Lytechinus pictus: one gene and its partners. The protein of the gene in region 4 binds, or shares a complex with, the protein of the main gene of each other region. Links are inferred from orthologs where the notes say so. Each region holds a gene or a part of one and is shown on either strand. Other genes may lie near its edges. The genes, in order: protein UXT homolog, histone acetyltransferase KAT5-like, enhancer of polycomb homolog 1-like and ruvB-like 2.

Region 1 (7,459 bases), on a different chromosome or scaffold from region 4:
ACCTCCACAGGCTAGATTATGAGCGTTGAGCCAAGGACGAAATGATAAACAACAGCTGTGCTATTACGTAAGACTTCTCTGCCTGTAGTAGGACCTTCGGAATGAAATTATTGTATTCGATATTTAATCACGTTTTCAAATGCATATTGTATTCAGAAATCCAATGTTAGTCCATTTTCAAGTTCGAACGAAGAAAATCGACCTCGAAATAAGGAAAGTAAGTGAATTAAAATGACGGCATGCTTTGCTCGGGCTGTTGCGTTATCTTCGGACCGAGGTCAAGAAACAGGTGTTTTGATACTTAAAGTGCTTGCTTGGGGCAGTTATGGTTTGTCGTACTTGGAGAAGAGAATTGATTGAGGGAAACTGGGGTATAGTGTTTTCAAATGAAAGGTTTTCGTCATGTTTCCACGTTTTATGAACTAGACCAATACACTTATAGAGATATGATGGCAATTCAACAAATACCCCCAACGTGGCCAAAGTTCTTTGACCTTACATGACCTTTGACCTTGATCATGTGACCTGAAACTCGCACAGGATGTTCAGTGATACTTGATTACTATTATGTCCAAGTTTTATGAACTAGACCAACACACTTTCAAATTTATGGCTGTAATTCAACAAATACCCCAATTTGGCCAAAGTTCATTGACCCTAAATGACCTTTGACCTTGATCATGTGACCTGAAACTTGCACAGGATGTTCAGTAATACTTGATTACTATTATGTCCAAGTTTCATGAATCAGATCCATAAACTTTCAAAGTTATGATGGTAATTCAACAGATACCCCCAATTCGGCCAAAGTTCATTGACCCTAAATGACCTTTGACCTTGGTCATGTGATGTGAAACTCATGCAGGATGTTCAGTGATACTTGATTAACCTTATGTATAAGTTTCATGAACTAGGTCCATATATTTTCTAAGTTATGATGACATTTCAAAAACTTAACCTTAGGTTAAGATTTTGATGTTGATTCCCCCAACATGGTCTAAGTTCATTGACCCTAAATGACCTTTGACCTTGGTCATGTGACATGAAACTCAGGCAGGATGTTCAGTAATACTTGATTAACCTTATGGCCAAGTTTCATGAACTAGGTCCATATACTTTCTAAGTTATGCTGTCATTTCAAAAACTTAACCTCAGGTTAAGATTTGGTGTTGACGCCGCCGCCGTCGCCGTCACCGTCGGAAAAGCGGCGCCTATAGTCTCACTCTGCTATGCAGGTGAGACAAAAAACTGATATCACCAACAGAAAGAGCGACTTAAAATTACCCAATATAGTAATTTTCTTGAAGGTAAGGTCTATTAATGAAAATATTGGTAAAACATCGGCAAATATTGTTACCTTTTGCGTCTGCTCTGAGAAAATCTGACCTTCTCGACAAGCATCAAGAATTCACCAGTTTGCAAGCGGAAGTCTCCAAATAAGTAAGTAAAATGTGATACCAACCAAAATTATGGCATTTTAACCTCCAGCTCCATCTGATACAATTTTATTATGTTACCTTTGTCTGCTTGATTTCTTTTCTAACGCCTCGTAAAACGATCGTGCGCAAATTAAGGTCACACTTTTTTTATGACACTTTTTTCAGCAGAGCGCGCACTAGTCGATCGCCATGGAACTTTGAGACCGCGATACGAGCGAAACCCTTCATGACGAAAAACCTCCATTTGAGAACACTATACCCCAGTTTCCCTCAATCAATTCTCTTATCCAAGTACGACAAACCATAACTGCCCCAAGCAAGCAATTTAAGTATCAAAACACCCGTTTCTTGACCTCGGTCCGAAGATAACACAACAGCCCTGCAAAGCATGCCGTCATTTTAATTCACTTTCTTTCCTTATTTCGAGGTCGATTTTCTTTGTTCGAAATTGAAAATGGGCTAACATTGGATTTCTAAATACAATATGCCTTTGAAAACGTGATTAAATATCGAATACAATAATTTCATTCCGAAGGTCCTACGACAGGCAGAGAAGTCTTGCGTAATAGCACAGCTGTTGTTTATCATTTCGTCCTTGGCTCAACCAATAGCTCCATGGCTCAACGCTCATAATCTGGCCTGTGGAGGTAAAATTGAGACAGCGGGGATTACCTGGCCTAGCGGGGTTGATCAGGCGGGTGTTTCATAAAGCTGTTCGTAAATAAAGAGCGACTGGTGATCCTGTCTTGCCGTAAATGGTACACACCATTGGCGATGATTTAGCGCGCGAGAAAGGATCACCAGTCGTTCTTAAAGTCGCTCTTAACTTACGAACAGCTTTATGAAACAGCCCCCTGGGCTTGGAAATGATTTTGGGATTTACGAATGCAAAATGGGGTATAGTACCGCAGTTTGCAATCTGAACTGCGGTCTTTCTCCAAACGGTGGTCTGACGTAATGTTGACCTACTTTATAATTCCGTCAAGCGAATTTGACTGATCTTGCCTTCCGTTTGGTATTCATGATCATGATTTTGATTAATTTTGTGTGAGCTGTTAGTGTTAGAAATTTTTGATTGAAAATCAACTTCATGATGATTTTTAAAATGTGTGCAAATTATAATGGTCACCCCATTATACTTATAGACTGATCGTGTCTCATTTTAATTTTATTTAATTCCTTTTTATTATTTTGTGTGAATTTTGAAGTTAAAAAGTCTACATGGTCTAGGGCCTAACTAACTTGTATTTTTTGTAACTTGTTAACGTTATTTCATTTCATTTTCAATCATGATAAAATTTTTAAAAATGAAAGGTTAACTTAAACAACTTACTCTAAATCTTTCCTAAGCACTTCATTGACGAATCTTTCATATTCAATCACCTTTTCTGGTATATCTTCAGACATTTTGAACTTGAAGAAGGAGTTTGATGCTGATCCAGTGGCAGTGGTCAGTGGTCTACAGCACACAGGCCTGATACAGGCATCTCTGACCAGGTGCATCCCTGTCTGCTGTTACTAATTTTAGATCTAATGTACCGGTTTGGGGTCTGTGGACTGAGACTAAAACTGTAAATGTTGTTTAAAAGTGCTTTATAATTTAATTATTTCTGAGTTTTTTTAATCTTATTAATTTTATTCATGTATAAAAATATAAATTAAATAAATTTTTAATATTTTCAAAATAAAAACTGCACGAATTAAAAAAAAAACAGAGTTTAAAAACATAAATAAAAATAATTTTCATTGAGCTGATGATAGACTATAGAGATGGCCGAATTACTCTTGGATCCCAATATCAGAATTTGGGTGGTATTACCCATAGTTTTTATTACCTTTTTCGTTGGTATTATAAGACATTATGTTAGTTTATTGCTTGCCAGTCAGAAAAAAGTTGATTTGCAGAAAGTTGGTGATAGGTAAGTCCATAGATTTTATATTTTACTTTTTTTTAATTTCCTTAGTACAGTCCCATATACTGTAAAACGTGTAAGTTCTATTGCAAGAAGCTCCCCTCGCACACGCCACGGGCACTCCTAGTATACCCAGTTGTTGTGTGTCCGGACAGGTTGTGTGTCCGGACGATCAATTTTAGAAAGTCATTTGGAAAAATTTACAAGCGAAGTTTCATCAATTTTTCGTACAAAATGTAAGGAAATATTATGGAGAACAAAATGGAAGATGATTACAACTATTGAATTCATATTTTTAGTGTAATCCAAAGACAAATAAAGAAGGCTTCAACAATATAAAGTGTCCGGACACCCGATCCCCCATCCTACCAATGAGGTCCAACATTACATGTATGGACCTCATAGGCGACATCAGTAGTATTTTTGGTTAGAAATCTCTGAGAACAGGATATTTATATATTATATCACAAGTACAAGCTATATTCCTTTCTCTTATTTAAATTATAATTTTATAGTGTAAATGCATCGTTAGCAACAACAAAAAAATGAAAGAAATGAAGGGGAACTTACATTTTCACGGCTTTTTCCTGATTTTCTGGGCAGCTGCTCTTCTCTTCTGACTCGCGATCGAAGCTGATATGAAGATCACGTGATTCGCGTTCTCGTCAGCTGATCGGTTGGTTATTCTTTTCGTCAGACGTTAATAATATATATTTTATAATAATGCTAGCATTCATCGCTAATTTAGGTGAAAGAGATTGAAGTTAAACAGCGCCAGGTCGGAATCATAATTATTTTGGAAGAGTGTATTTATACACTCGATCTATTCAACAAATGCACAATCTTCAATATAAAAAATAAAACAGAAAGAACGCCTTGAACACAGGCCAAAATGCCTAACGATTTCTCCGCGGCATTAACAACTATCGTAAAGGGCGCTCCATTTATCAATAAAGATGGATGCTAAGCTGTCTATGGCGACAAAATTTGCCGCAAATATTTACGAAGAATTGTGAGAAATGGTCTGAAAATGCAACAAAAGAACCGGTGAGTACCGATTAAACATTATCAATTTATTTAATAGAACATATTTAATGACTACAATGTAACAATTTCTAGATAATATTGCTTAGTTCTAAGCTAGGGCGGCCCAAATGCGCTTGAGTGGAGTCCCAGTTTATTAGCACGGGTAAGTATTGGGGTGTCGCCTAGAGTGGCCACGGGTAGCCTAGCCAGGCGGCTTCTAGAGAGTAAAAATCATTTACTAACGTAAGGTCACTCTCATGAAGCCAGGGCTTCCGTCATATACTTTTGTGTGTACCACCAAAAAACCTGAAACTTTCGCCCCCGAGATTTCTACTTTCTTTCTAAAAGATCTAGCCCTAAATCATGTAGGCTAGGCCTACATGTCATGGGATAAAACTTCATTTCCGACATTTCTACGCTCTCGTTGTTATTTTTGAACAAGAATTCATCAAAAAAAATGAGAGAAATATTGTGTAAAGACGGAAGAGACTTGCCCGATGTTTACGCCGCCATCTTGTTTTCTATTGTTCTTCCCCAACGTTACCCGACGCACGCGTCTGTAACGTTGGCGAAGAACAATAGGAAACAAGATGCATGGATGAAAGAAGCCACTTTCTTGGGACCTGCCGTCTGACTGAAAGGGCTAATTTTTCATGAGGAATCTCCTTATCACATTTTTATTTGCCGCCAAGGTAATTCTTTTGCAGCAAATGTAAACAAAGGAAATTGGTCTCCAAAACTGAAAATGGATACCCAAATTCTTTACAAAAGTCTCTGATATTGGAGATAATCTCCCACATTGGAGACAGTCTCCAATATTGGCCGTGTGCCTCTACTGAATAGCGCCCCTATTGTCCGGATGCGACCATGCGAACGCAAGCAGCCGACAATAAAGTGTACGATTTCCAGGCTTATTAGGCTTAGTGTATCAAAACTCGAGCGACGCCCGCAGCCAAAATTTTGCTAACTTCCAGTAAACGCCTCGTCATATTTGTTCCGTAGTCTAACATCACTTTTCTTCTTAATTAAAAATATGGGTGGCAGAGATAGATGTGCTAGCTATAGTTGCAAGAATTACCACATATTTTATGAAAACAAGTGCAATTTTGTTTCATCTTCGCGCACTGTCTGTGCGTATTCTGAGCTGTACAACTGAGACCAGGCTGTGGCTGTGCAAAGTGTGCTTGTATGCATGCCGTTTGCACGGACTGTGGGCACTCTCGGCCCAGGGACAGAGTACGTCGGCGAGGCAGTGGAGGAAACTGGTCCCGGAATTCCCAAGGAATTAATAAAATGATGCATGATCAATAATAAACTCTGCAGTAGATTTGATTACTTTATCCTAGTTATATATTTTAGTAATATATCAATCGATTGTCAAGAATACATGTTTCATAAATAATTATCTCAATCATGACTCTATTCAGATATTAACCGAGCTGTGTTTTCTTTTCTCTCCACAGATACATAATTGCATGTAATTCAGGATCATGGCCGGACATTCTGAAGTTTTATTAAAATAATTAATTAAATATAAAAAAAATAATGGATGAGAATAGATGAAAGTATAATGAGAGAAAATAAGTTTTAAAAATAATGAAATTAAGGTACATTATCTGTGAGAGAAGTAATTAGTGACTGAATGTGATGAAATTAATTTAAAATGCAAATTTTTAAAATAATATTAAAGTAATGGAATATATATAATTTATATGAATTAAATATCCATCAGCTGCTTAATTTTCAGACAATGAAATTACAGAGAGGTTAGACTGAGGGAGACCATGGAGAATACTATAGTGCCTGTATATGGCTTATTATATTCACTCGCGTTCGTAATCACTCGCGTCGCGTTGGTATTATTATTTACAAGTAATGAAGTATTACTTGGAATTATATATAAATTATTAGAAATGTTATTTTATATAATAGTAATTATTTACAAATAGAATGTAAATTATATATAAATAATAGTTATTATTTAATGAATAATGATTATATAACAAATAATTGTTCTATATAATATTGGTACAATCGGCGCCTCATATATAACGTGGGATCTAACTCAGCTCGACTCACGTTAGCTTGCTCCATGCTACCGATGCACGTCGTGTCCGACCGCGGCCGGGTCCGGCCGCCTTGGGGCCATTGCATGTAGGCATGTCCGCATATGGGAATGATACGATGTAATATCGATGTGGCAGATATGGCAAGTTCCGACTCGGAGTCCTCGTATAAGACACAGTAGAAGTCCGGATCTATTCTAAGTTAGTTGAGCCACATGGCTGATTTGCTTGTTTGTTATGTTAAAACAGAAGTCGAGTACATCTTATTTAAGGCACTTGCCGGCTTAAAACGAAACTCGAATTTCAATTTCATTTTATTTTCCCAGCGTGTTTGTCCCATTGAAGACACCGTTAGAAAAAAAATCGCACCGAAATGAAAAAAAAAATCGCAAAAAATTCATAACGCGAGTGATTACGAACCCGCACGCGACGCGAGTGATTATAAACTGCCCTGTATATGGCATCATAAAATGTTTTATTTCAGGGATTTATTTAATCTTTATTCTGCATGTCATAGACCTATTTATATGTATTTATTGATATGTATATACACACTAGCTTATTTTAATATACTTTATATTTGGTCTAGAGCTCCGGCCGCTCGATCCTCTAGTCTCACCCCCCCCCCCCTCTATTAGATCCCGGCATTAGATCTTGTAATGATCAAACCCCAAAACTCATTTGCAAAGGACTATATCCCCCCAAAATAACAAAAACTAGCTAAATTCACTAGTTATGGAGATAAAATATATATCATGGTCTACATTATAATTCTCATCAATATTCTTTAATGGAAAAATAGCCTCAGGCTCTCTTCTGATCGCCGACGTGCTCTTTTCTACAGTCGATCGGCACATGCCCGCAATCACCATGTTCACTTTTCCCACAAAATCTTCCCAAATTTAGCCCCAGAAATCTTGGAAAATACGGTGAGCATTGAGTTCATACTTTCACTGTGCAATCATGATGCAAAGATTGTTCTATAAATCTACATTCAAATATCCAAAATAATTTC
Region 2 (6,934 bases), on a different chromosome or scaffold from region 4:
CAACGCAGTGGGGATGACGTCACTTACAGCTGTTCGTATACGCTCAAAACAACCCTGCTCGATCGGCCGAGTCAGATTCACAAACACCTCATGACACTCAAAACTGAAGCTCATATCCGCAGGCTCTCTACGGACCAAATTTAATTAGAATTTAACAAAATGTTCTCAAATATACAATTTTATTACTGACCGAGTTTACAAGAGATCCGATGATTACAAGAAGGTGATTTCAAGCAAAGAAAAATAAATACCTGAATATTAGGTCCTTCCCTCGCATGAAGGTAAGTGATACTCCATCTTATATATTTCCGATGTTTACCGAAGATGTACAAAGCAACCGCGGGAATTTTTGACCAATCACAATCAGCGGAATAAAGGAAGAAACTGACTCTGTCTTTTCGAGCAATGCCGAATGCAACTCCAGCGCTCGGCCAAAGTGTCGAGCGGAGCGAACTGTGTGTGTTAGATATGCGCTCGCCATTCACTGCAATGCAAAAATCTACGTCTAGCGCTGTGTCCGCGCAATCGCCCGCCTGGCTGAAGTGTCTAGGCCTAGCAATAATTAAATCAGATTTTTAATATTTAAAAAATCATAACTCTCTTAATATTTGGCCTAGAGTAATGGTTAATAATACCATTTTAAATGTTTTTTTCAGCCCTTTCCAATGAGCTAGGTTACAATGTAATTCCATGATTTTTATTTTTTTTGTCACATATATGGCAGTATGTCCAAACTTCGCGCGTGTCCATACTTCGCGGACGGTCATTATTTAAAAAACTAGCCAATATCCTTAAAATCTGACATCATCAACGTGAAAAGCGACCTAAAAGTACCCTATAGTGAAAATTTCTTTAGGATGAGTTCAGTATTCATGAAAATATTGGCAAAAGATCGGCAAATTTGCCACCGCTAGCGCCCGTTTTGAAGAAATCAACAAGCATCACGATATCACCATTTTGCAAGCAGAAATCATAAAAAATGTGAGTTAAATGTGGTACTAACCGATTCCATAGCATTTTGCCATCAATCTGATATAAATATTTCACTTTTTTAGCTTGATTTTTTGTTTAAATCTCCACAAAAGCTTTGGTGCGCGAAGTTAGGTCACACTTTTTCTGAACGGTTTTCCAGCACAGCCCGCATTCGCCGATCGGAATAGAATTTTGAGATCGCGATACCGGCGAAACCCCTTGACTAGACAGGAATAACCGTCGTTTCTGGGGATTTATTCAACAATTTCTGACATTTTACTGTAATCCCCATTTACCGACGGTAGGGTGTACGTGTGGGCTCGCATGTGTTCTCATTCCCTCCCTTTTGTCAATTCACAGTCCAAAGTTTGATGTAATTTTACACATCGAATTTACAATCTAAGGATGTATAAACAACAAACTTGTAAAATTTAATATTTTAATATTTAAATACTTTAAACGATATAGATGAAAAAGGCATGAAAAATATACTTTACCGATGTTTAATTGGGTTGAACACGATAAAAATGGTCAAAATGGCAGCCAAACTATAAAATATTTACAAACGAACGTCAACAATCACGAATGTGATATCGATATTGCTTTCGATATTATACGATCTGCTCCATATGCGATCGAAACCGAAGATAAACGATACTAGTTATACTAGTACTAGTACTAGTTATAATCGCGATATATCGATTCGAGACATTAAGTTTATAACGATAATGACGTCATTCAAGATGGCAACTTGCAAGAAAAACCGTCAGGTCAGGTGAAAATGTCTTAGATGACAGATTTCTCAATCATCCAGAGGATTTTTTTCAATAACTCCGGCCCAAGGTATGCAATTACTAAATTTATTCATATTTCCCTGATAATGGAAACCATGATGAAACTTTCAATTTTGCTTAAAAAACAGTTTTAAATCGCGATCTATAAAACGCTAGTTCACTATACGTTGGCTGTAGGTACGGGGCCCCATCCCCTTCAGTCTATGTATGGTGAGTGGAGCCAACGTAGTTCAGCGGAACAACCAAAATACAGAGACTGAAGCTTTTGGTCTACCCCTTGACCTACTTTACATTTTCGTCCATGATTTTATAGTTTACGATCTTGCCGTCAATGTGGTAACTATTTCTTGAATTGGTTTTGTATAAATTATGAATATTTTGTGAACAAAAATAAGCCTGATGAATATTTTTGAAAAGTGCGCGAAGTTTGGACACCCCATCATACCTATCTTAAAGACTTAGCATGTTATTGTTAAGGCTTAAGCATCCTCTTTTTTGGCAAATTGGCAATGTTTTTATTTTTATTTAAAATGCTCTTTTAGCACTTACATGTACATGCACTTTACATATTTAGTTGGATATTACAAAGATTTTGAAAAATATTATGTCCTTAAATCCTTGGTCCATTTCATGGTTGAGAAGGGACGTGACTTTATAAACAAGACATAGGGCCTAGGTAAATAAATACAAAGAAATTTCACCAATATAGCAAACGCAAAAGTCAACACATGGGACCAAAATGAAATAAATCCAAAGAGAACTTACGCCACTCATCCGTTTGCTTCATTCTTACAGGCATGCGGCATCCTTCAACCACCAGATCTTCCTGAAAAGAAAATTAGAGTTGCGATTATAAGTTCAAATAAATAGGGCACAATAAAAATTTAAAAGAATTAATAAAAACGAGCAAAACTCACAGTTTTTATCGATGAATCATTATTTTCCGCCATTTTGTTTGTGTGTTTTCTCTCAAAATTACTCCACTGCCGACGGCTTGTCCAAAAAAATTTTCTTGTCCAACTCCAAGAAAGAAGCACAGATAAAGTAAAATGAGTGCAGGAGAAAAGAAGGAATCACCAGATGCTATGAATCTAGAGGAGAGGTATGAGCCGTATCATATATGCATTTTAGATCGATTTTTTTTTCTAATTTTGCATTATATGTTTAAATTTTTGTTTTTTTCTAGCCAAAAAGGTCGTGCTTCACTTCAGTCCCACCTGATGTCTGTTTTGTTTGCTCTGGTTTTGGAAGTTTGTAGTTGTAATATAGTCACGTATTGTATTAATACCGGACACTATTATGATTCCGGACGCGCATATTACTGCGTTCTAAAACAAATTCGTACCGTAAAACTTCCGCAATTCAATTTCACAGAGCAATACATAGAACAAGATTGCAAAAACAAGGCGAAAAATCCAACTTTTACCTAATTATCTCTCAAAATGACAGAAAATGCTTAAAAGTTAAAATATCATATTATAACATAGTTTTGTATTAACAATTGATGTATTTTCTAACGGAAATATGGGCCTGATTTGCCGAATTTCAATCTCGTCCACTCCTTCGATCGAATGATGAGGTGTGGTGTATTGTGGGTGATCGTCGATGGCTAGTTCTCAAGGTACCCGTGCGCGAGGTTTACCGTGAGTAGAGCCGTCGATCGGCAGCGCATCGATAGAACTTGATGAGCGTCACGATATGATACGAACGCGAGCATATTATTATTGGAAAGTGCCATGGAACATGCAGCTAACAAGACAAAATAAAATAAGTTATCAAACACGAATTTATTACCAACATCTGCTCAGATTCGATATAAAAAAGCAAATAATACTTAGAATTTACTCATGATATGATATAAGAAGAAAAAAATCACACAAATTTGCTCTTACATCATTATAATCAAGGATATCTTTACCCGTCCGGCGCGCGTCCGGAATCATGATGTAATTTGTCGCGCACGAAAATAATTGTTTTTCATGGAGGGGTATGCGGCAACTGCGATGCAAAGAAAATGGTTGGTAAATATAATTATAAAATAATTTTATCATATTCATAATTTTCATAATATTTGGAATAGCAAGTGTGATTTTTTCTTGATTGTATTTCCTCTAGTTGTCATTTTTAAAGCACTGAAATAAAGGTGTCCGGCAATAGGATACACTGCCATACAGCTAGTATTGCTATTTTCAATTTCACATTCATATAAAAATTAAAACATATTGGCCCGTATTCTGAAGTCGGGTTTAACTTAAACTCAGGTTTTAAGTTGTGGTTTAAGTATGGTAAGCCAATGGTTACATAAATCACTATTAACAGTAGAGATATCATATTTCAGCTCATTTGGCTCTCAAATCATTCATAATCCTGATAATTGTCTAGGAAGTATAAAATTAAAATTGATTGTCTTCATCATCGATGAATCAGGAAAGAGCACAGTAAACATACAAAACATACAACTTAATAAACATTTTGACACTTTTGGCTTCCCATAATTTTAGCACAGAGTTAGACCGTCCATGGTCTAAGTTAAACCTGACTTCAGAATACGGGCCATTAGATTTTTGGAAAAGTACCGGTAGTCATAATGTTCTTTTGATATGAAGGAAACGGACACGAAAACTTAAACTTTTGTTGTCACTTGTTTTTTTTGTTGCTATTTATGAATTTTGCCCTTTTCTGTGTAAAAAAATGTTGGACTGGAGTCCAGTCCTGGAGGCTGGACCTGGAATCTGGATTGTGAAAGTTGCATTGCAGTTGCAATGAAATTATCTAAATTATAAGACCACTTCTAGTACCAATGAGGTCAAAAGTGACTCAAAACGTAACCTATTGACCTCATAGTCAACAATCGTACATATATGGGGAGGTGCACTTGTAGAAAGTCGCCTCCCGTGGCAGTACACAAATGCATGACGACTAGTTTTTTTTTTCGTTTAGATATGAACTTCCTTGAGTGAAATTATTATTGTTTATTGCAATTTAGATATTACAAATTATATCTAAGGTAAAACTTTTTATTAAATATCTGTGGATTTTGTACAATGGTACTTGAAAGTCTTACTACGCTGGCAGCTTTTTTCAACCTTTTTTTAGGTCCCAAAGACTCCCACTCACTGCCTCCTACTAGTCCTAGAGTGTATAAGACTAGAATAAAATACAGTCAGTGTCACTTAATCTCTCTCTTTTAGTCCAGGCAGATAATTTGGCATTATTTGATTTGAAGGCTTATTTATTTTGCTGTCAATACCTGACATAGTCACTTTTTTATAAATGTGAATTTGAAACAGTTGATTTTCCATTATTTTGAATTTACATTGTATCTCAAGACATTATGGTCTATCTCATCAACAGTAACCAATTAATTTGAACTTTTGTAATCTGTTTTCTTGTTCAAATTACAGAATCCTGGAACTATGTAAAGGAGAATCAGATGGTATTCGAGATTCGGCTATTCAGAAGCAACTTCCAAACATTGATGCTCAACAGAGAGTATCGGCTGTCAACAGACTTCTTTCATCAGTGAGTTTCTTTTTTCACCCCCCCTCCCCCGCGAAGGTGGTTGTCAGAGGCATTCATTATATTTTGGAGTCATTGTGTTGCTAATCTGAGAATATATTCTCAGTTAAGCAACACAATGACTCCAAAAGGTATACCTTCAAAGGTATACCTTCAAAATAAATATGAAAAACATAATTTTGATTCAGTAATTCCTATTTGTTTACAATTCAGAGCATATTTGATGAAGAAATCTAATTTGCATCCTTTTCTTTTATCTAGGGTAAAATAGACTTGGTGAAGACAAGCACTGAATTGCTGTACCGTTTGAAGGATCCTGGTGTTGTAAGGTAATTTCCATTCATTATTCCTTGAAATGAATGAACTTAAGTGTCACTATTTGACTTGGACCAATGCTGTCATTTCCTGGTAATTCGTATAAGGGTTTCATGTGATAAATGAAATATTTGGTCGATGCAGAAAAGACTGGTTTATTGTAACTTGTTATTAATGGGAGGGGGGGGGGGGGTGAATACTTAGCCAGGATTCAAATCTGCATTGAAAATGTATCTTATCATTTGATAAATGAAGATGTATACAACGTGATAGCTGTCATCATCATTTTATTATATGAGAACTATTATTTTATGTTATATGTTAAAATTTTGTTAAATGATTACTGTTGCTTATATTATTTTTGTAGTAAAATCAAAGGAGCTGATAATCAGGAACGTCTTGTATATCAGATCATCGAGCAATCAGGCAACAAGGGAATATGGACACGAGATATCCGATTAAAGAGCAATCTACAACTAACTCAACTCAACAAGATTCTGAAGAATTTAGAGAGTAGGAAACTCATCAAGGCTGTCAAGTCTGTTGGGGTAGGTGTTTATTAACCTTTTGGTATGCTAATGTTGACATTTTGCTCATGCAATCTATTGCAATGATTAGTTTTCTCCCTTATCTTTAAGCTGGATAAGCTAATAAATGTCTATAGCCCCTGGATAGCATATGTGCATTATTATTCTGTATCAGTGGTGCAGTATGGAAATCTAGATTCAAACAAAATATCACAAATATAATCAGTCATAGTAGCTGACCAGTTTTAGACGACATAAATTACTATAGGGCCTGTTAGGTCAAAGTAGAGACCATGGCCAAGCAGGTACTGGAACTCAAAACCACGCAAGTCCAATGCTCTAACCACTAGACCATGATATGATCCATATTATGGGTTGGATTATGAAAAAAATTGTACATTCCACAAATTTTCCCTTCATTTAAAATCCAGGCAGCAAGGAAAAAGGCATACATGCTCTTTAATCTGACCCCTGACCCCTCAGTGACCGGCGGAACATGGTATAGTGATCAGGAGTTCGAGTCAGAATTTGTAGAAGTCCTGAACCAACAGTGCTTCAAGTTTCTTCAACAAAAGGTTTGTTTGCTCTCCTGCAGCAATCTGTTTATTTTAGTAATTGAACTTCACTTCCAACAATGTCTTGCTTTTTTTGTGAGAGGGGAAAAAGGTAAGCCTCATACAATTTAGACTTTTGAAAAGGCTCCATCATGGACATAATTGTGTTTGTTCAGGATTACACAGCAACAACGAAAATGGCTGAGTGGCATTTCTTTTTAAAGTTTTTATTTGAATCCTGATATGCTGTAAT
Region 3 (7,685 bases), on a different chromosome or scaffold from region 4:
AGACTATATTTCACATATTTGAATTTCAATGAAATTTTCAGCATTATGAATAATAAATAAATAATACGTAACTTGTATCTAGCACATGTATCCACCATGTTAGGTGCTCAAGGTGCTCCTATATTACCCTGGCTAAGCTGGTATTCTTTTTTTTCGGTGCTCACAACTTTTTGAGGAATTACTGCCTGCAGGTACCCATTTACATGTACCTCACCTGGGTTGAGTCAAGGAGTTTTAAGACAAGGGGAACCATCCAACACTTTCTCTTTATTGCCACTTTGATGCCGCAATGGTAAAAATATGTTACACATGTGTTTCATTGCATATTTCTTGCAGATTGTAGACCAAAGATTCCTAAAGTCAAACTTATAGGTGAATTACAAAAGGAAAAATGCTTTTGTAGTAATTACTCCCGAATTACTCTACGCTGCCTCTGGTGGGATAATATGAGCAGACACATTGCTCACTTTTACAGGGAACAGCAAATATAAAAGTTGCAATATATCTTGAAATATGATTTGAAATTACACGACCTGTTGCATTTGGCCGCAGTTCTGACACATACATGTAGCATCACAAATTAAACTAATAATATTTTTATAGTCTGGACGTTTGTGGGATTTTGTGAAATGTTGATTTTAAAAATGTCAAATTATGAGGTTTTTTATCAGTTTAAATCTTTTTTAAAACTTAAAAAAAACTTAGCTATTGGCAAACTGGGCAAATGACTCTCAATCAATAGAGGGCCTACACAAAAATGCTCAAAATCACATTTTTTGTGCACTCTGAATAAAAAAAAAGATCCCCAAGTTAATAATTCACAACTTAAGGAAAAAAAGAATTTTTGGTCAAAGCGCATAAAATAAACATAACTACATGTAGACCCTACCATCACTTGTTCACTACAACCACCCTGCCTGTGGGAATCTACATGTATAGGCCTACAAGTGGATCTATGCAGTATACAACACACATTAAAAAAAAATCATTAAAATACCACTTTTGTAACCAAATATACTCATTTCCATACATCTGCAATTTAATTTAATTCATATAGCTTAGGGATCATTTTTTCATTCACCAGAGAGCATAAAAACTTGAATTTTGGGCATACTTTTGTGTAGGCCCTCTATTGGTGGAGAGTAAAATTGCAAGAAAACATTTACATTCTTCATTTTTAATATGGAAAAAATAATCAAAAGAATTCAATTTACTTCAAGCCAAGTTATACGATGAATAGTTGTAATGGAAATTGACAGTGTAAAAAATCACAAGAACAAGAGAAAATAAGCCAAACATTGCCAACCTTATTTCTCCACACAGGGGATAAATAGTAACAGAGAACAATGTTATATCATAACCTTGTTCATTGAATGAGTGCCTACCACATTATTGTTATTTATATTATTTGTTATTAATATTATCATTATTGTTATTAAAATATTATCATTGTTATTAATATCATCATCATCAATATTATAAATTACATTATCATTATTAAATTATAATCATTATTATCATAATTATTATCATTATTATTACTATTAATATCATATAATTATTATCATTAGACCCCTATATTTGTTTAATATTGTAAAAAAAAAAATCTGACATGTGAAAATTGGGAAAAGGAGGACACATGTCTAAACATTAAAAAAAAAAAAGTTGCACAAACAAAATAATAAATATCTGTATTCTGTGTATTGGTCATATTCTAAGATTTTGTCAGCCTGTCAATAACATTTCTGCTCTTAATTTGTTCTTATGAACTTCTTTGGTAAATCTACTGTGACTGTGTACATGTAGACTTCTAATTTCAGGGGAAAAAAAGGCCAAGTTGGTTTCATTAAAAAATTCAGAATCAATAATTCAAATTAAGGTCAACTCATCATTTCATGTAAACAAATAAATGTACATTTTAATAGTGAAATCATGTTTACATTCATCGTGCACATGTCAGAGTTTATTGCACAACACAGAAATTTTCCCTCTAAGTCTAACCCTATCTACACATAATGGACTTGTCCACCATTCATCATCCACTTATGAATAATTCATGAGCATGCAGTGGAGAATAAATATCACAAGTGTATCATAACCTTAAAATTTCTTCTTTTTGTACAGCTGAAAAAAAAATCATCATCATTAAACAGCTCATACATGTTTAAATAAAAAATTAATAAAAAATAACTCAATTTGGTTTAAAAATAATACGGTGACCTAATTATTAGCATGTGACGCATGCGGGACCGTCCATTCTCAAAATGGGTGAAGTCAACATTTCACAGAGGAAAAAACTTTCAAAAATCGAATTCTAAATCGAATCAACTTACTTCAGTTCACATATTTCTTAATTTGAATAATGAAAGCATCTAATAAATAACCGTGAATAGATATCTCATTGAAAACAAACCAATAAATGTCGCAAAACAATATGAATTATTCGTCTCGCAAAAAACGTCGGTCCCGCCAAAAAGGGCGTGATTTCAAAATGGCCGCCAGATCCGGGTAACCTCATTATATATGCAAGACCAACGGACTAATTTGCATGAAACAAAAACCTACCGATTCTTCTTCTTTTTCCATTCCTGTGGGCATTTGAGGAACTGCCCGATTGGTAGTGGAAAAATCAGGCAAATCTGGAAGCTCATCTGTTGTGTAGATGGGCATCGGCTTCGCGGGATCGGGAGCCCGAGCTCGAAAACTTAGCTTGCTCATGATGACGGAGTGTCAACGATCCCTTAAAAATGCCAGAATGTGCCTCTATAGGCCAAATAGGCCAAAATCACCGAGCTGAAGTCAGAAATAGTGGTATCATCCGTCCTCTCATTCAGATAGAATCTGGAGAAATGTGCTAAAAATCACAAATGAAGGCAAAATAACGGTAAATTTTCCGCCTTTATACATAACAACATGGCGGACAAAAAATTCGCAACCTTCCCAGAATTCCTCTGGATTGATCACGTCTGCGCGCGCATCTCATAACGTGTTGTGTTCCCACGGCGGAACCCGGGAATTGTGTGTGTGCATTCGGCCTAAACCATTTAAAAACAGCTGATGGCTTCAGTAGTAGTGAACGGTGTACACTTCAGGATTAGACCGCTTGTAAACTTAATAGTGCAATTTGCTTTAACTGAATAAGAGCAAATTTGACTGTTTTTACCAGTCTTTTCGAGACTCTAGCAAAATTTAATGTTATAAGATCAAAGATATTAAGATTATCAACAGCTGAATATTTCCATTTTTAAACAATATTTACAGTTTTTCTGCTCATTCTCCAATTTGCCGAATTTTGGACTGCCTACTTGTTTTTGTTTTTTTTTTGCTTTTGGTGAGAACAAATCATCGAAATATAGGCCCTATAGGCTATTAGTAATATTTTCCTGGTAAACTTTACGGAGTAGGGGAAGGCAGCCTAAAAACCATTTAGCTCAAGTTTAAAACAAAAGTCATGTTATGTTATTATCTTGGCTACTATCATTGGCGGCGGAAGCCAAAAATTTTAGGGGGGACGCAGGAAACAAAATTGACAAGCAAAAAAAAAACAAAAAAAAAAGGTCATCAACAAGAAATTTAGGGGGGATCGTCCCCCCACCTCAAATTTAGGGGGACACGTCCCCCCCCCCCCCCCCCGCTTCCGCCGCCTATGGCTACTATTATGATTGAACCAATAACTCGAAAATGACTTCAGCGATTATTTATAAAAATATCAAGGCCAAGATGAAAACATAAAATATGACAACCAGGCAGGTTGTCTAAAAAAAATCCGGGAGTAGTCATGATTGAGCCCATCACGCTTTTGATAATTGGTCGAGTTGCATATTTTTTTATGATAAGATTTAAAATAAAAACATAAATATTTGTTTTAACAGTTGCGTAAGATATTTAGAGTTGCGTTTGATTGCAAAAAGTTTCTGCAACGGGCCTCTGATCGTCTCAATTTTTTTTTCTGGAGAATCAAATCTAGCCATGCAGCCTACCCCCCCCCCCCCGCCCTGTCCATCGCAAACAAACATAAAGGATAATGATAATTATAAAGGTTATACCAGGATGTGCATGTTTTGTGAAATTTAGCGAAAGATATATGTATAACTTTTTTATTTCACATTCGATTTTGATGAAATTTTCAGTGTTGTGCTTATTGAATTTTTCTCTTTTTATTAAAATAAACTTTTCGTTGGGATGGAGTCCGTCCTTTAACACTATGATCTAGCTCGATAATTTTTTTTCAATTTTAAAGTGAATTGCCTTTGATGGGATATGGCAATATCAATATGTGGAGCGTTGTGGCCCAGTGGATTAGTCTTCTGACTTTGAAACAGAGGGTCGTGGGTTAGAATCCCAGCCATGGCGTAATCGGGGCGTAATTTCCTTCAGCAAGGAATTCGTCCACGTTGTGCTGCACTCAACCGAGGTGAGATGGGTACCTGGCAGAAATTTAATCCATGAAATGCCATCGCGCTGTATAAAGCTGCGGGGCTAAAGCCAGGGGAATAATATCCAAGTCCTTCGGAGGCGCATAGGGACGTTATTACATGTGATATGCGCTAAAAAAAAAATACAAGAACTGCGTTATTATTATTATATCAGTGGAAAAATAATCGTCTTCACTTTTTTTTAATGCCTATATCAATTAATATCTTCATTTCTTTCATTTGCAAGGACTATACCCTTTCCAATAAAATGAGGATAATTGTTGCCATTCGATCATTTTGTGTGTTTGTGGATGTCAATTAAATGATTTTCCATGTGAACTGATTTGCCCTAAATTGAAGTATATGCATGTTCAAAAGGGGTTCAGTATCGTTTGCTTAACAAGTTAAAAAGTGGGGGCGCTCTTCCCATGGCACTGATGTGAAAATCTGAACACTGTCGTCATTCTTACCACCATTTTCTCCTCTCTTCATCTTTATCATCACAAAATAAAGAACACATAACGCACAACAAATATCCACCTCTAATTGTCTTCCTTCTTTTTTCAAACATTTTTTAATAAAAAATTATTTGTACAAAGATACAAAGCAGAAGATACTTATAGAGTAGGAGATGATACAATATTAGATGGGTATATCCCGTAGCCAGTTTTTTTTTTTTTTGGGGGGGGGGTCTGAATTGTAAAAAGTGGACCTTTCTACTTTCAATGATCAGGCCCGAACTCATGTTTAGTTCTGTTACTTCCAGGGACGGATCTAACTTTCGCCAATAGGAGGGAGTGAGGCTAGGGGCGGAAGACAATTTATTATTGTAATCCATCTTTCCCAGATCGGCCGCTAAAAGATAAAGGCTGCTGCAGTTACATTTTTAACTTTATTATTAAGAACAAGATAAGGTGTCTCATAAAGTATAAATAATGTGAACGCAAAGCGCGTGCCAAAATTGGTAATATGACATGATAAGGGAGTCAAGGGACCTGTTTCGGACTTAGTGTTTGCAGAGGCTCACGATCGAGGAGGATACACATCTCACCAACCAATGAGAGCGCGAAGCGAGAGCTGAAAATTATCATTTTCACTGGAAACTTGTCATTCTAAGTACTTTTTGTAACCATGACCAAGATGGCTATCTAAACAATTGATAAGAGCGCGAAGGGCGAGGTTAAATTTTTGATATTCCGACCTAAACTTGGACAGTTAAATGTGCATATCAAATTTTAGGTCGGAATATCAAAAATTTATAATTTGTGGCAGCGCGAAGCGCGAGCTGATTTTTTGCGATTTAGACCTTAAACGGGAGATTCTAAGCATTTTTTTAACAGAATGGATATCTAAAATAACACTATGTGCATGAGCTTTGAAGCGCGAGCAGAAAATTGTTGATAATTATTCCTATCTGTAAATATTGACAATGTAATAACCTTTTATTTTTTTCATAAAGAACAAGATATCCAGTAAAGAATTAATGCGTGAGGTGATTTTTTAGGGACATTCCATTCACTTTTTATAAACATGAAAAGGGTGGGTATATCTTGCTCAATAAATGACACAGGCGCAAAGATGAAACATTTTATATTCCAATCTGAAAGCTGTAAATTAGGACGTTTTTAAATAAAGAACTACTGTTCAAATTATCTCAATGATGGGAGTGTGATATACTGACCCGAAAGGGAACATTTTAAGCACGTTTTAACACGTAGGAACACAATGAAGAAGATATTATTAGTTTGAGAACAATAGACTAACAATGAGCATTAGAATGCTGAATCACGAATGCAATGAGTGTTACTCTCAATGCTAATGCTATGGATAGACACTCATTGGTAATGTGATCAAGGATTTGTGATATTACAAAAGTACAACCAGTGGCGGATCCAGGGGGGGGGGGCACAGCCGGCCCGTGCCCCCCCCCCCCCCCCCCCCCCCCATTGAGAGCCATAATCAAAATTTGTAATGTTAATATACGGTTTTAACTTAATATACCGTTTTCCTTTTGAAAGTGAGGACCTTTTTTTTTTGCTTGCTTGTCAAATTTTCACAAGGAAAATGTGCCCCCCCCCCTTTTGGAAAATTCTGGATCCGCCCCGGCCGGAGTACAACTCACCCCTTTATACATTTAAAATATACCCAAACATTTTTTTTTTTCATTATCTTAATGATAGCAACAATCTTTGCCCACGATACATTTTATGAAACCTTCATTAAAATGTCCTCCCATGAAACAAAACCACCTCGTCTATGGATCTTCTTGGAAAATAAAGATAATTCAAGTAAAATATCTGCAGAAAGCTTTATAGGGGTTGTGTGTGGCAACATGTTGGTTGTATTGCCAATGCGAGAATGTCCACATCGAGTGATCTCTGTAGTCAAATGCTTCTAAATATCATTAATTTTGTCTTTCAAACTTTCATTGATTATTTTGTTCCTTTCAGATCACACAAGCTAACTTGTTCCAAGTGTTTCATTCCCCATTCAATGGTAGCCTATAATATTTGCTTTTTTAGAATAAAAAAAACAGAGAGGCAAGAGGAAGCGAACCCTTTTTTTGGGTAAAAGTAAGAATAAAAATAAAAAAGAGCAACACTGGTGTTTTGGTAGCCCCCACCCCTATGCATGCACATACTTGTTATTTTTAATTTTCTTTTTTTTTGGGGGGGCAAGTATATTTTCGGGGGTCACTTTAGGAAGAAAAATATTGAAATGGAGGTTTGAAAAATTTTCCATAATAATTTGAACAATCCTACAATTTTGGGGGTTACTTTCCTAGCTTTACCTGTATCATATACCTGTATGATTTTGCTGGATTCCATTGCAAAAGCCTGTGAAGGGGGGGGGGGGTAAAACGCCTAAACCATTTCCATTCTTTAAAGGAGAATGAAACTCTTGGAGCAAGTTAGCTTTTGTGAAAGCAGAAAAATCAAAGAATAAGATCAACAAAAGTTTGAGTAAAATAGGACTAGCAATAGAAGAGTTATGAGCATTTGAATGTCGAGATCACTAATGCTATGGAGATCCTCCCATTGGCAATGCGACCAAGATCTATGATGTCACAGATGAACAACTCTCCCCTTTTGGACACTGAAAATATACCCAAAACATCTCTTTTTGCTCGTTCTAATCATATGACAAACGATTCATCAATGATATAATGTTGTGAAACCTCTGTACTTGTCCTCTCATAAAGAGAAAACCTCACCTTGTCATAGACACTATAAAAGTGAGAATATAAGTGAAATAAGTACTAAAGTAATG
Region 4 (7,938 bases):
TTAAATGATGGACTGTTCATGTTTAAAAAAGGGGATTATTGTCTGTTTTCATGGGGAATTAGACATCAATCACATATAAATTACCAAAAGTAGAAAGAGAATAAGGCCCAGAATACATTCTGTAATACCATTTTAAAACTGCCCTATTGTAAACTCATTATCTCATTTTCTTTGGCCTGACAGTAGCCTGAGATTAAGCAGGTTTGGCCGAAAATTTTCTTGCTGCCAGGGTTGGGCTCAATTTCTTTCTTTAAATACAATTACTTAATTGAAGAAATGTTCAATTACAATTATTTTTCAATTAAATCACTTTTTTTTTTATTGCAATGACCAATTACTTTTGTCAAATACAGTTACAATTTCAATTACTTTCTATAAGTCATAAATGAAATCACTTTGTATTCTGTATGTACTAGCAATCTAGCACCACCTATTTCAACAATTCTAGGTTACAGAGAATCTGACAAGATGAAGGTTTATGTTAAAGAGCACAGATTCTGCCTATTACACTCTTTGAAGCTGAAGCAGTTGACATGAAAAGGGTCATTGAATTAAATCATAATTAAGTTTATTGTTAAGTAACTGAATGTAATTAAAAGTTATTGACAGTAATTGAGGTCAATGACAATTACTTTCCCTACAGATTTCAAATACAATTACAATTAAAAAATGTAATTAATTACGTAACTGATCAATTACCTTCACCAAGTTAGCTTTTCCCAAAAGATATCTCTGTTACAGCTATTTTCAATATTTTTCACAAAGTCTGGGGTCAGCAAATAAGCAATGCATGACCTATGAAAGCTGATGCCCATTGGACTTTGAAGTCATTTCATAGGGGGCGTTGCAAGAAAAATATTTGCGATCAATTGCAAATATTCTGTTGCAATTTTACAATTGATAGATCACCATTAGCTGTAGCAAATCAGATTAAACTTCTTGTTTCAAGGAGCAAATTAGCAATCAGTCACTAATTTGCAATTAACTGCATGACATGATTGATTTAGGGACCAAAAATTTACTTGTAATTGCTGGCAGGTTTCTTGCAACACGCCATAAGAGAGATCAAAATTTACCTGTGTTTGTGAATTAGATTCTGGAGCACTGCAGAATAATTGATCCTTGGATGGTAATCTCCACAAGGCATCATCAGTCTTCTGAAAAGTGAACGCCTTGTTGAATAATGCGTCAATCTCGCTCTGCCCCTCGTTTGTTCTCCCTTGACCTTTCATGTGACCCCTCTTTTTTTGACGATGATTCTTGCCACGCCCCCCTTGATGGGGACGAGACCCTCTATCTCCGGAGTGAATTGGGTGGTGATCCTGGCTGGACATCTTCTCAAACCTATGAAGTGATACAGATGAAAATTGAACTGCATTAGGGTAACAATGCAATTTTTGTTAATTTTTTTTAATCCCACTGATTATATCCTAGGGAGCGGAAGCAGGGCTTTCATTTCAGCACAGCTATTTTTTCTTCCCCTCTTCTTTTCCCTGTTTCCTAGCATTTTGTTTCCTTTTCTTTCACTTTTAATAGGGCAGGCCGGAGGGTGTGTTGACAAGAATCCCTCTGCCTTGTTCATAATCCTAGCAAACTCATGAACCTGTCCCTGCCCTTCGACTCGTATCAACCCAAGGTACTTATTATAAATGCCATATGGGCAGACTATCCTTTTTAAGTTTTTGTAACTCCCATTAGCACTAATGCAGTTTCACACCAGCCGATTACCAGAATACCTCACCACAGAACTTGCTTGCAAATGTCATAGTAAGTCCCTCAATCACGTTTCAAGGTCAGTATGCCCACCACTTTTCCAAATATCGTGACCGGCTGTATTTCGGGTTCCATGCATCTCGACGTCGTTCAAATTCTCAGTCAGATATTGCTTCACTTGGCTTTGCTGTAATTTTGATTTGGACTGAAGTTGGCAACCAAAATCATGCGCACATGTGGCGGCACACAAACGGGCTGGTGAGCTGCCGCATGCCACACGCAGGCCAGGCAAATCTTTTGGTCGCCAACTTCAGTTCATATCAAAATTATGGCGAAGCCAAGCCAAGCGAAGTCTGACTGAGAAGTTGAACAATAACGTCGAGATCGGAGCTAAATACAACCGTTCCTGAATGTAATATTTGGAAAAGCAGTGCCGGTGGTCACATTGACCTTGGAATATGTCACTGAGAGCCTTGCCACAACATTTGCATACAATTAACGTTACTGGTAGTGAGGTATGCATGCTGGTAATCTGCCAGTGCGAAACTGCATTGCCATTACCGGTAATTATATTATGGATTCTCAGATTATTCATTTCTAAAACATTTCATTTTGAAAAAAGTTTTAAAATATATTTAAAACACCAAATATCATTGGCATAATGATATAGTCCCCAAATCCAAAAATGGGGATTATTAGAATCACACCTACCAGAACGCATGAAAGTCACTTCCTTTCTCCAGAACACAGTCCCCAACTCTCGCACAGCTCGAGAACTTGCAAAATGATAACACACACAAATGAAACACACTTTGTTTGGATAATATACTGTTGGAGCTATCCCCACTGCGTGCCAAATGAAATGTGTATCCCATAACGTGGGGATTGTATCACGAGTATAGCTATACTGTTGGAACTGTCCCCACTGCGTGCAAAGTGAACTGTGTATCCCATAGCACAGGGACTGCATCACGAGTATACTATACTGTTGAAACTGTCCCCACCGCCGTGAAAATCAAACTTGATTTCCCGTAGAGTGGGGACTGTATCACGAGTATATAATAGGGAGAGAACCCAAGTGTAAGTGTGTTTCATTTGTGTGTGTTATCATTTCGCAAGTTCTCGAGCTGTGCGAATCTAATAATCCCCATTTTTGGATTTGGGGACTATATCACGATTATACCATATCATTATGATTTTTGTTAGATTGGATAGTTTTTGTTTGCTTTAAATTTGAACTTTCTTTCTTTTCTATCCTTCTTTCTTCATCCTTCTATTCCTCCTTGCCTTTTTTGTTCCGCCTTTCTTTATTTCCTATCTTTCTTTCCTGATCCTTTCTCTCCGTGTTCATTTTGCTTTCTTTCCTTCTTTCTCTTACCTGCCTTCTTTATTAAATTTCCTTCATTCTTGCTTTCCTTAAACTTTTCTTTGCTTCCTTCCTCTCCTTTTTCTTTTCGTTCTTTCTCCTTCCATTATTTTCTTTTTATTTCATTCTCTCCTCCCTTCATTCTTTCCTCCTTTCTTTAATTCTTTATTTTATTATCCCTTATAATTCTTTTCCCTTATTCTTTCTTTCCCTTCCTTCCTTCCTCCTTTCCCGTTTTTCTTCGTATGTTCCTTTCTTTCAATGAAGGAACAAAAATTATTTCCTTCATTCTTTCTTTCCTCCTCCTTTTTTTCCTACTTTCTTTCTCTCCTTCATTTTATCTTTCACACATTTATTCATCTTCCCTTCCTTTCTATATTCAATTCACAGATCGAATGATGGATACCATTTTTCTCTTTTAATTTTTATTCTTTTTTTCTAACTTTCTTTTATTTTTTCCCTTCACTTTGTCTTAGTTTCAGTCTTTCTTCTCAATTCATTTCTTTTCTGTCATCTTTTCTTTCTCTTCTTCATTCTTTCGTTCACCCGCCCTTCCAATTATTTAATATATTTTTCACAAGTCTAACACTGTTTATCCTTCTTGTTTAGACTTAAGTTGTTATGTTTTGTCGATTGTCCCGTATTTCATTTTGTGAAATATGGTCACCCTGCATAATTATGCCAACTCAAGATCACTCACGCTCAGCTCGCTCAAGTTGAAGATACTCGTACAACCCATGTGTTGGAACATGCGATGAAGCTTATGTGCAATTAGGATACGAGTATCAAGAAAATGTGTTATAACCCGCTTCACATGCGCCCAAACTAAATCGCGCACGCCAGTGATCGAGGCATTAAAATGATAATCCACATGGCCTGTGCGACTATCCCCAGCGGTCCTACCTAGCTCAGCTCACATTCCTAATCGATCTTGATACTTTGGCAGCTACCTAGCGGCATTCCTAAATTCACAGATCAGGCTCAGCTCTTGCTTTCAAAATTTACTATCACCTGGATAAAATTCGAGCAAGCCAAAAGCACAAAGAAATAGTCTGTCGAGCGGCAGGGAATTCCCCTTCGCACGTTTTTTCGGAGGTAAAGCGCCAGCTAGCGTTGTCATCACAGATCAAAATGGCAGCGGTAAGTTCGCGTGGGTTTTGTAAATTTGACTCGTAACTTGATGAAATAAATGACTCTGTAGCCTAATTGATTTGTTGAATTTTATTTGTTCGTAGGGATACTGAGGAGGATTATATACTAGTGACAGTTGAATTAGTAGTATTTGAATTCTTACTTTAATTGATTGACTTTTGCTCGATTTCAGAGCACAGTGTTTAAATTTTGTATGTTGTGCATGACAACGGATCAGCCGGCGCGGCGGCCTAACTCGGGACGACTCTCTCTCTTACTCTTAGCTGATCCCTCCACTATTTGGAGATTCCTAGGGTCCAAGGTAAACAGATATGTTCCATATACGCTGTCATTCTGGTTTAGGAGGTTTGAACCATGTCAGTACGGAATACATCAATTTTGTGGAGGAAAAAGAGAGATAATAGGAGTAAACTATTGTGTAGTTCCTTGGGCAAACAAGAGTGAAATGGTATAAGGGTGGCCTGAGTAAAGTCCAGTGGGTTGGCATTGACATATAGATCGACACATGTTGGGAAGTCCACAAGGCAGTCCTTGACTTTGCCAATAAACACTTGACGGAGATGGTCTAGCTTGGGACACTGCCCAGTAAAATGTTCCACAGTCTCGTCGGTAGATTTGCATAGAGGGCAAGTGCGGCTGGTTGATTTCTTCAGCGTGAAGAGACGACACTGTGTTAAGTAGGTGGCTGTAAGGAGTTGAGCTCTCACCACAAATGCTCTTCGTAAGACAGGAGAGAGTACACTTTTCGGGTACAGGAGTTTGGCAGAAGGAGGTATACAGTCTTGCCAGTACTTAAGAGATGGCTTGGAAAGGATTCCTTGACATGTGTTGTGTTTGGTCAGCAGGTTCACTTTGTAATTGACCAATCTCTTCCAAGATGAGTATACAGGAGGATTCGATAGAAGGTCACCGCTCCGCTGAAGCCGAGGCGAAGGAAAGCGGCTGAGCTGAGCGACAGAGCCGGCTCGGAGCCAAAAGTTACCAAGACAAGTCAAGAAAAAATAATGCAAGGAACTCAGGCTCATGAGTCATGTTAATCCAGTAAAAAAAAGAGGAGAGAAATAACTAACAAAGTAACAAGTATTGAAGTAACATGACCAACAAAGCCAAAGATAAAACAATTTGAATTTAAAACTCAGTCTCAGAATATTGTCAGAAGGGAAAAAATATGTTATGTATTATGTGTTTTTTTTTAAAAAGGCTTTTTCAAACCCAGCCCTTTTAACTTTGTTTGCCCAACAGTCTGTCCCTGAATGGAATAATATTAAACTCCCTCTTCATATACATGTCAAATACTTTTCGCTTGACCAGTAGAGGCGCACGGCCAATAATGGGAGACTCTCTCCAATAACAGGGGAGACAATCTCCCACATTGGAGACTTGCTTTACAAAAGGACAAAAGAAACAACACCAAAAAAACATGATTTTTTTCCACCCGAAATTTTGTCTCACTGAGCCTTGAGGTCAGAAGCCCATTTGTTTTGTGTGTGATTGACAACAAAAATCCTTATCAAAACAAAAGTAGACGGTGAAAAGGGGCAATTTTTCATGAGAAATCTGCTTATCACATTTTTATTTGCCGCCAAGCCCAAGGTAATCCTTTTGCAGCAAATGTAAACAAAGGAAATTGGTCTCCAAAACTGGAGACTCTGAAATTGGATACCCAAATTCTTTACAAAAGTCTCTGATATTGGAGATAATCTCCCACATTGGAGACAGTCTCCAATATTGGCCGTGCGCCTCTACTGTTGACAGCCTCCAAAAGCATGAAAAGCTCTTGCAAAATCAAGTTGAAATTGAAAATACCCCTCAGCTTACTCATAACGTGCGTCCAATTCTAATTTTATTTTCAAGGTAGCGCTGCAGAGCCCTTTGAAGATGATAGCAGATGATGATGAAAAAAAAAGATGATTTTAAAAGAGAGAGAAGAGAGGAAACAAAAAGGAAAGAGATCATGAAGACATGATAAAGAAACAGAAAAGAAAAGACGAGTAGATTCTTAAAGAAAAATATATTTTAAAAATCAACAAATAGAAACATTAAAATTAAATGGGAAAACAGAGAGAGCTCAAGGGATGGGGAAAAGGTGAACCTGATCAATAACGTTTTTTCTATTGAAAAATATTGTTGTTTGACTGTTTGCCATTAAAACTGATCAAAAAAAAATAAAAAAAAGTGTGGAGCATTCATCCATAAGTGAAAAGTATGAACCGTTTGTGACAGAAAACGGCGGTCTCTGCAATGTTGATTGTAGGTCTTGTGTTCTTTGTTATTTTGCTCGAATAAAAGAATAGAAAAGTAATAGTCCGAAAACGGATGTAAAAATCTTGAGTGGATACACTGCTGGACTAGTAACTTTGTATTCATGCAGTGGATGAGAGAAGACGAGAAGATATTTATTTCTTTTCTTCAATATTATTTATCATTATTATCTTCATCTGCAGTCAACAGCACAGAAGGTTCAGGAGGTTCGTGAGGTGACAAGGATCGAGCGGATAGGAGCGCATTCTCACATCAGGGGTCTTGGTCTAGACGATGCCTTGGAAGCAAGGAATGTGTCCCAGGGTATGGTGGGCCAGACGGCGGCCAGGAGAGCCGCAGGAGTCATCCTGGAGATGATCAAGGTATGAAAGACAACTGGGCCCTTTTACATAAGGGGTTGCAATGAACTGCAAAAACAGGTGACTCCGCCCAAGTCTGGGGACCAGAGAAATCTGTTCAAATTGGGAAAAATTCATAAAAAGATATTTAGCATGTTCTGGTGGGAATTAATGCTTCAAGTTAAGCGATTTTTCCACTTACATTGTAAGGTTGACTTGTGCAGATTCTGCTGTATGAATGAACCACTTTGATTGGTTCCAGGTCAGTGTTTGTGCAATGGTAATTGCTAACCTTCGTGTTACAGAGCCCAGGATTGATTATTGGCATTCAGCAATTTTTATTGATTGCAAACTTTTGTGTTATGGAGTCCAAAAAGGAAAGGCTACATAATATGATATATAAATATACTACCCAGGGAGCAAAACCCCACTTTTGGGGTGAAATTTGAAATGATATGATTTTAAAAGTTTCTTTAGGATCTACATTGTATTTTCCATGAAGGACCTTTCATGGGTGGATTAACTTTAATTACATGTATTTATTTATCCCCTTATTACAGGAGGGTAAAATTGCAGGACGAGCTGTTCTTATTGCTGGTCAACCAGGTACTGGTAAAACAGCTATAGCCATGGGTGAGTAGAAAATAACCATTCCTGTATTTTTAAGTCCAGGGGTCTAGGGGCCAATCACAATGAAGTTATAACTCTTCATGAAATGGGCTCTAGTTCAACTATTAAAGTCATAGTTTAATTCTGCTGAAATTATGGGAAGCGACAAATGTTGAATAATTTGTTTGCTTGTAGTGTGTGTTTAAATGAGATACAATTGTGATATCATATACAAAGAATTACAAATTTTATCCATATGTCACCTCCAGCGCACAAATGGCTAAATTCACACACACACAAAATATTTGATGAGGACATATGACAATGTGCTTTCCATTATTAATGATTATGATAGTATACACTGTAGGGACAGTGATTTTCCGCGATCGCGGAAAACGGACGGAATTTACGGAAAGGGCCTTTTGAAACGGAAAGTGGCATTTCAAACGGAAAATCACGGAAAACGTATTTTCCCTCAAAATAAACAGAATAGCAACA

The links.
Region 1: ruvB-like 2 (region 4) and protein UXT homolog share a complex: the UniProt entries of both Homo sapiens proteins name them as parts of the PAQosome complex. The link is inferred for Lytechinus pictus from reciprocal best matches to the Homo sapiens genes RUVBL2 and UXT.
Region 2: ruvB-like 2 (region 4) and histone acetyltransferase KAT5-like share a complex: the UniProt entries of both Homo sapiens proteins name them as parts of the SWR1-like complex. The link is inferred for Lytechinus pictus from reciprocal best matches to the Homo sapiens genes RUVBL2 and KAT5.
Region 3: ruvB-like 2 (region 4) and enhancer of polycomb homolog 1-like share a complex: the UniProt entries of both Homo sapiens proteins name them as parts of the nuA4-related complex. The link is inferred for Lytechinus pictus from reciprocal best matches to the Homo sapiens genes RUVBL2 and EPC1.

The regions. Positions count from the first base shown.
Region 1 is NC_087247.1:51,229,343-51,236,801, forward strand, and holds the start of protein UXT homolog, read right to left. Parts: upstream 3,001-7,459; 5' UTR 2,943-3,000; coding exon 2,773-2,942; intron 1-2,772. UniProt on the Homo sapiens protein: Involved in gene transcription regulation. Acts in concert with the corepressor URI1 to regulate androgen receptor AR-mediated transcription. Together with URI1, associates with chromatin to the NKX3-1 promoter region.
Region 2 is NC_087251.1:35,558,634-35,565,567, reverse strand, and holds the start of histone acetyltransferase KAT5-like, read right to left. Parts: upstream 3,004-6,934; 5' UTR 2,869-3,003; coding exon of another isoform or gene 2,816-2,868; 5' UTR 2,717-2,815; coding exon 2,684-2,716; exon of another isoform or gene 2,593-2,683; coding exon 2,532-2,592; intron 1-2,531. Other genes in the region: DNA-directed RNA polymerase III subunit RPC6-like, read left to right, coding at 2,816-2,868, 5,171-5,288, 5,547-5,614, 5,968-6,148, 6,559-6,702. UniProt on the Homo sapiens protein: Catalytic subunit of the NuA4 histone acetyltransferase complex, a multiprotein complex involved in transcriptional activation of select genes principally by acetylation of nucleosomal histones H2A and H4.
Region 3 is NC_087247.1:14,834,770-14,842,454, reverse strand, and holds the start of enhancer of polycomb homolog 1-like, read right to left. Parts: upstream 3,025-7,685; 5' UTR 2,719-3,024; coding exon 2,566-2,718; intron 1-2,565. UniProt on the Homo sapiens protein: Component of the NuA4 histone acetyltransferase (HAT) complex, a multiprotein complex involved in transcriptional activation of select genes principally by acetylation of nucleosomal histones H4 and H2A.
Region 4 is NC_087253.1:12,090,780-12,098,717, forward strand, and holds the start of ruvB-like 2, read left to right. Parts: upstream 1-4,928; 5' UTR 4,929-4,943; coding exon 4,944-5,003; intron 5,004-6,675; coding exon 6,676-6,855; intron 6,856-7,391; coding exon 7,392-7,464; intron 7,465-7,938. Other genes in the region: uncharacterized protein LOC129267757, read right to left, coding at 1,077-1,334. UniProt on the Homo sapiens protein: Possesses single-stranded DNA-stimulated ATPase and ATP-dependent DNA helicase (5' to 3') activity; hexamerization is thought to be critical for ATP hydrolysis and adjacent subunits in the ring-like structure contribute to the ATPase activity.